Zea mays: one gene and its partner. The protein of the gene in region 1 interacts with the protein of each later gene in a pairwise test. Links are inferred from orthologs where the notes say so. Each region holds a gene or a part of one and is shown on either strand. Other genes may lie near its edges. The genes, in order: Probable UDP-N-acetylglucosamine--peptide N-acetylglucosaminyltransferase SEC-like and myb-related protein 306.

Region 1 (3,828 bases):
TCACTGGACCAAACCTTCAACGGTACAGGATTACAAAAGGCAGAAAAGATGAGAAAGCAGAGACAATAATCCGATAAGAGCCTTATTATGTTTAACCTAATGCAGGTAGCAACCTAGCAGGTTTTGTAGGTCAACATAATACTAAGCCATCAGAGATTTATATGATATGTGAACACTGTTAAATCATAATTGAGCTGTACTTTGCATCAATGTCCTTGAATGTTTGCACACATCTGCTGTAGTATTAATTTTCATAAGTAGCAGACACAACATAAAGATGAATATGTTGTAACATATCTTTTATTTACTCAAAGTTTACAGTCTTATTCAAATCTTTATATCACAAGTGCGTTAAAAGGGTAGAGAAAAATTGCAAGGTACCTGTAGAGTATGCAGGAGATTACAGGTTGCCTCAGGAAAATCAGGACGCAGCCGGAGAGCCTGCTTGTAGCTAATTATAGCCGTTTCTACATGCCCACTGCAAAAAGATTACATTTACCAATATTATAAACAGAAATAAAAAATTCTGCCAGAAATTAAATGCATTATATTAACACTGCATAGGCTTAAGATTCATAGAATACCTGTCCTTGTATGCTGAGGCCAAGTTGGCATGGGCTTCTGGCATGTTTGGCCTGATTGTTGCTGCCTGAACATAATCCTGAATTGCTTCATTAACTCTGCCAATCTCTTTGAATGTGTTCCCTCTATTAACTAGTGCATCAGCTGCTGTAGGATCTATACGGAGTACTTCAGTGTAACATGTGATAGCATCAGCATAGTTTCCCTGGTGCATACAACAAAATAGAGAAATCAGAGAGAGAGAAAGAACAGGTATTAGGTGTTGGATATTGTTCAAGCAATCATTTAATTTGAACATTAGAACAGGAACTTTGTCCTACAACTACAACATGATCAGACAAAATGAAGGGAAGAAAACCACCTGTTGCTTGTATATCACAGCCAAGTTGTTAAGTGGGGAAGATAATCCAGATGTCACAGATATAGCTGCTTTGTAAAATGAAGTAGCAGCGCTTATCATGTTCCTGCAGTGTATTTTTTTTGTCATCATGAGCTCACTTGCATCTTTGTTAAGTCAGATAAATTTTTATTTCCTTTAATATTAAGAATATGTGCACATAAGAATCTCACCACTCCATGTATATGTTTCCTAAATTAGTAAGGGCTTGCGGGTGGTTTGCTTGCAGTGCAAGGCAGGACTGCACAAATACAGCTAGATCACAACCTGAGCTACATGTAAACAAGTCAAACCAATAGCAGGAAAACATACTCTGTAGCAGTTGATTGCTTCTTCTACTCTTCCAGCATCTTTAAGTGCGTTGCCCTACAAAGATAAAAATTGTAAACTAGTTGTTCAATTTATACATAAAAATAGTTGAAAAATGTGGATCAGTGACTAACCATGTTGTTGTATGCTTCAATAAACTGTGGGTCGTAGACTATAGCTTGATTGTAACAACGAATTGCCATATCAAGCTGGCCTTGCTCATAGTAAATAGTAGCAAGATTACCTGCATGAAAATGTTCCCCTACCTTTGTATTACGAGGTATACTAAGGCTCTACTTTGAAGGTAAAGAAAGGACCATTCTCTTGTAAGCTTGTTCGCATCTCACCCGAGATGAGTATCTAAATGAATGAACTCGAAGGATAACCTTTAATCAGTATTACTTTTATTTTTTGGGCTAAAAGTTAAGTTCTAAAGAAAATAATATATATATATATATATATATATATATATATATATATATATATATATATATATATATATATATACTCTGGTACAGAAAGGCCAGGGTTTGGCAAAGAAAAAAGAATCAAATCTCACCATAAGCCATAGCATAGTCAGGACGTGCCTGCAGTGCACGTTGATAACACATAATGGCATCTTGAGGCATTCCCAAAGCCTGGAGAACCAAAAATATATAAGATCCAGTTTCCCTACAAAAGCGAAGTTATCCCTGCATTCTCTTGCAGGATACTTGTGTCACAACCGATAGACTTACCTTATAAACATTCCCTTGATTAAGATATGCATCAGCGAAAGATGGCTTAAGCTTAACAGCTTCCTGCAAGTTTCAAGAGAAGGTGGAAACATTCGCCATCAGCATTACAAGCAGGATGCTCAAAAGAAGGAATGCTTTATTATTCTCTTTGAGCATAATAAGCAGCAAAAGGGCCTCTAGTTGAGTTGGTTAGGTGGTCTGAGTAGCACTCCTCAGGTCCTGAGTTCGACTCCTCGTGGGAGCGAATTTCAGGCTAGGGTTAAAAAAAATCCCCATGTCTGTTGCATTACCAAAGCACAGGTCTATGGCCCGGCTTTGGTCACGGTCGTTCTCACATGACCTACGGTGTTGCTGTGTATAGGTGGGACAACAAGGGTTTAGGGTTTTCTCGACCTGCGTGAGGTCTTCTTAATACAATGCCCAGGGGTTGCCTTACCCCCCCCCCCAGTCGAGTTTTTGAGAGCATAATAAGCAGGCGCTATAGGAAAATATGCATGTTTGATCAAATGAAGAGAATGATACAACACCGGGTGAAAATCTGGGTGCATAGGTAATAAGTGGATCAAAATAAGCCTCAGTGGAGTTTTATTTTTCAAGTTTAAATTCCCTTCATTAGTCATTACAATGAGAAAGCACAATTTTGGTAGATTTGCAAGACACACAAGAGCTATGCAGCAAAAAAATAATCATTGAAGGAATATCCAAATCTCAAAACCAAAACATGACACTAGAAAGTGACAGGACAATTTAGCCCAAAATAAACCATCATGCAATGACAAATACATGAAGTAACTTTCATCTTCCCTAGATTCGTAAATAAAATGATCAACGACCTTCATATACACAAAAAATCCAGTTCAGAACAAACTAAGGGTACCTCAAAAAACTATGAAACATAGCATAAGTGACATCAAGTACTCAATCCAAAATATGAAGTGTGATTTGGCTCGGGGTGGTCTTCAAGATCACATTTATACCACTCATTTCTTTTATAATACATCATTTGTAGAAATAAATAACAGAGATCCAGATCTCAAAACCAAAATATGGCGCTAGGAAGTGACAGAAAGACAATTCAGCCCTACATAAATCGTGACACGACAAATGCATGAAACGACTTCCATTTTCCTAGATTCCATGGAAATAAAATGATTTACGACCTTCACACGCACCACAAAAAATCCAATTCAGGACATAGGGACCTCGATAAACAACGACATAAGTGACTTAAGGTACTCCATCCCAAAATATATAGGCCCTGTTTGTTTCGGCTTCTGGCAGCTTCTGGCCACCAAAAGCTGCTGTGAACTGCCAAACGCTCAGCTTTTCAGCCAGCTTCTATAAAATTCGTTGGGGCAAAAACCATCCAAAATCAACATAAACACATAATCAATTGAGTCGTTGTAATAGTAGGAATCCGTCACTTTCTAGATCCTGAGCCATATGAACAACTTTATCTTCCTCCTCACGTAATCGTAATGATACCCAGATTCTTCCCACAGCCAGATTCTCCCCACAGCCAGATTTTTAGAAAAGCTGGTCAGAAAAAAGCTGAACCAAACAGGCCCATAGCGCGGTTTGACTTGGTGTGGTCTTATCACACTTCAAGCATTCATATTTCCTTACAGTATATGATTTGCAGAAATAAAAGTTTGATCATTAGAAAGTAGGGAATTTCTAAATACAAACCAAATCTAACCATTTTGCAACTCAAACTTTCTTATATAATTAGACTACTTGCTGGTCAAAGATAATGAAGTTTAAATCTTGAAATGTGTGCATGCCTTATATTTTTTTATAGAG
Region 2 (3,467 bases), on another chromosome or scaffold:
GTTCCATACTCCTGTGAGTATTAAAATTGTAGTTAGATGCTGGTAATTCATCTGGTATAACACATGCAATCTCTTCTTTGTGCAGGGCCAATCTGCGGCGGCATCTAACAACCCTCATGGTTCGCCCAGCCTAACACAGCACCAGTCCAACCGCCCACCTCAATGAGAGTTATGTTTTTAGTGTTTAGACTACAAAACTTATGTTGAATACTTATGTCAGACCTTTAGACTTATGTGTTCATACTTCTGAACTTGTGTTGATATTGTTTGTGTTGAGAACTTCTGAACTTATGTTTGTATATTAATGTTTGTGTTGGATATTTATGTCTGTGATGATCTGTGATGTATATATGTGATATCTGTGAAATGTCTTTTGTTTGTTTGGATAAAATAGGAAAAACAAATAAAAAGGTGTGTACCGGTCACTTTGACGAGTGTTAGGACCATAGCACTCGGCAAAGAACCAAGACCTGGGCACCGGTATAGGTTCTTTGCCGAGTAGTGGCCCTGACACTCGGCAAAGAAACACACTTTGCCGAGTGCCATATAAAGCACTCGGCAAAGAACCTGACATGGGGACCCACTGACGGATTCTTTGCCGAGTGCTGGCCGGCAGACACTCGGCAAAGGTAACTCCTTTGCCGAGTGTCACCTAGGACACTGGGCAAAGACATCGTCTCCGTCACCCCGGCGCCGTAACGGTGGCTTTTCTTTGCCGAGTACTTCCTGGCACTCGACAAAGTCTTTGCCGAGTGCCCGAGAAAAAGTACTCGGCAAAGAAGGCTTTGCCGATGTAATGTGTACCGAGCCATCTTTGCCGAGTACGACACTCGGCAAATCCTTTGCCGAATGTTTTTATTGCCGAGTGTTTTTCAGGCTTTACCGAGTGTTTCAGGCACTCGGCAAAGCCGTCGATTCCGGTAGTGGTACCACATGTTCACATCTTTACTGTACTATAGCAAGATGTGTACACAACTATTATTGCAAGAAAAAAAACGATTTGTATTCACTAGCATCCTACCAAGCTGTGTACACACACCGATTTATTTCAAGTTCATTACGCCGTGCATCCTGCCACTCATGTCAAGAGAAAAATATGCACATAACTCATTTAATTGTAATGGACCATAAAAAAACATATCCATGAAAAGCAAATAAAAACAATTCCAGGTTTTGCTACCAAACCCGTCGATCGGGTTCAGACCTGAGACAGGCCATTGCGAGGTTGGCCTCTGTCCCGGGCCCCCGCTGTGCCCATGAGGGCATGTGGATGTAACACATGTCACGTCGCCGTTGATTATTAGCTCAGCAATCTTACCAGGGTCAAACTGTGTTCAATTGCCTTCTCTTCACTTGTTGCTATAAAGCTCCATCGCGCTGTGCGTGTATATATATGCATCCTGCCCCCACCCCCCTTTTACCTCCCCACTCGTCTGCACCGAATCGGTCGATCGGTGCTTTTAATCTCTGAGCAAGCGATCGAGCTCACCAACAACCACCGCGCTCAAGAGTAGCAGCCCGCCGGCCGCGCCGGAGCCGAAAACGACGAGGCGGTGGCATGGGGAGGCCGCCGTGCTGCGACAAGGTGGGAGTGAAGAAAGGGCCGTGGACCCCCGAGGAGGACCTCATGCTCGTCTCCTATGTCCAGGAGCACGGCCCCGGGAACTGGCGCGCCGTGCCGACCAACACCGGTACGTGATGAATCATATGATGAGAGGCGGTGGACTGAATTGCCTTCCAAGATCCATGTGATCCAAGCTTACTTGATTTTATTTTGGGCCGGCGCGTGCAGGGCTGATGCGGTGCAGCAAGAGCTGCAGGTTGCGGTGGACAAACTACCTCCGGCCGGGAATCAAGCGCGGCAACTTTACCGACCAGGAGGAGAAGCTCATCATCCACCTCCAGGCTCTCCTTGGCAACCGGTGATGATCCCTCGCCTAGCTAGCCTGTTCCCTTTCTTTTCCACCCCCTACAACAATGGACAAATCATACACGACACGAGGTGATGGTGTGCTGAGCGCTTGAGCTTGTTGTTGATCCGCCGTGCAGGTGGGCGGCGATAGCGTCCTACTTGCCGGAGAGGACGGACAACGACATCAAGAACTACTGGAACACGCACCTCAAGAAGAAGCTGAAGAAGATGCAGGCCGGCGAAGGGGGCGGGGGAGACGGCGACGGCGCAGCAGGTGCCTCGGAAGGCGGCGCCGTCGCCACCGCAGGCGCGGGAGGGAAGCGCCCGGCGGTGCCCAAGGGGCAGTGGGAGCGGCGGCTGCAGACCGACATCCACACGGCGCGGCAGGCTCTGCGCGACGCGCTCTCGCTGGAACCTTCGCCTTCGGCTTCGGCGCCGCCGCCGGCTAAGGTGGAGCCTCTGCCGGCGACCGCCCCGGGGTACACGACGTACGCGTCTAGCGCCGAGAACATCGCGCGGCTGCTGGAGGGGTGGCTGCGCCCCGGCAGCGGAGGGGGCAAGGGGCCCGAGGCGTCGGGCTCGACGTCGACGACGGCCACGACGCAGCAGCGGCCGCAGTGCTCCGGTGAGGGCGCGGCGTCCGCGTCGGCGAGCCACAGCGGCGGAGCGCCCGCGAACGCGGCGGCGCAGACGCCCGAGTGCTCGACGGAGACCAGCAAGGTGGCCGGCGCGGGCGCCGCGCCGCCGGCGTTCTCGATGCTGGAGAGCTGGCTCCTCGACGACGGCATGGGGCACGGCGAGGACGGGCTCATGACCGACGTGGTGCCACTAGGGGACCCCAGTGAGTTCTTTTAATCAAGGCCGCTGTACAAGTACCACTAAAAGCAAATTAATCAAGTAGAGATGCAAGAACAAAAGGGAAAAAAATAATCGCCGAGTTATTAGGTAATAACTAGTGAAGCAGAAATCCAACGAACCAAATTTCTTTGAATTCTCGGTGATATGGATCGAGTTGAGTGTCGATCTAGTTTGTTTTAATTCCCTCTTTTATCTTTTTTACGCTGTTGTTTCTCTGATGTTAGGGATTGGAACTGATCGTGTAAGCTTATACTAATGACAGGTTCCTAAAGGACCATGCATGAGAGTGACCGATAGAAAGAAGTGTACATCTTATATAAATTATTAAAAGATCTATATATTTAGAAGTTATAATAGATGCTCAATCCTCAATTATATTACTCCAATATTTTTCCTTCATCAAGCTCTATATATTTTTCGTGTTATTCTTACTCTACTACACGAATGGGGAATAAAACATTATAGTACTCCCTAGTAGTTCAGATCAACCATGTCTAAGTGATGCTTGCTTTTGTAGAATTATCTTGTGTAATTTTCATGAAATCCTTGCATATTGCAAATCCAAATGTAAATAATTGAATGGTTCTTTTCCAAAAGTTACTTGAGTTATTACTCTGCCATGTGCTTGATATAAATAAAAGCAGCAGGCCTTTCGATCAAGATATTGCAAGAGATTTCAAGATGCATGTGATGCATC

What was found.
Region 2: the proteins of Probable UDP-N-acetylglucosamine--peptide N-acetylglucosaminyltransferase SEC-like (region 1) and myb-related protein 306 interact in binary tests that used the Arabidopsis thaliana proteins (3 or more experiments, as listed by UniProt). The link is inferred for Zea mays from reciprocal best matches to the Arabidopsis thaliana genes SEC and MYB30.

What each region holds. Positions count from the first base shown.
Region 1 is NC_050100.1:164,679,914-164,683,741, forward strand, and holds part of Probable UDP-N-acetylglucosamine--peptide N-acetylglucosaminyltransferase SEC-like, read right to left. Parts: intron 2,089-3,828; coding exon 2,026-2,088; intron 1,927-2,025; coding exon 1,848-1,926; intron 1,551-1,847; coding exon of another isoform or gene 1,533-1,550; coding exon 1,423-1,532; intron 1,346-1,422; coding exon 1,292-1,345; intron 1,221-1,291; coding exon 1,153-1,220; intron 1,047-1,152; coding exon 944-1,046; intron 788-943; coding exon 585-787; intron 479-584; coding exon 382-478; intron 1-381.
Region 2 is NC_050097.1:186,383,305-186,386,771, reverse strand, and holds myb-related protein 306, read left to right. Parts: upstream 1-1,389; 5' UTR 1,390-1,558; coding exon 1,559-1,691; intron 1,692-1,792; coding exon 1,793-1,922; intron 1,923-2,049; coding exon 2,050-2,767; 3' UTR 2,768-2,829; downstream 2,830-3,467.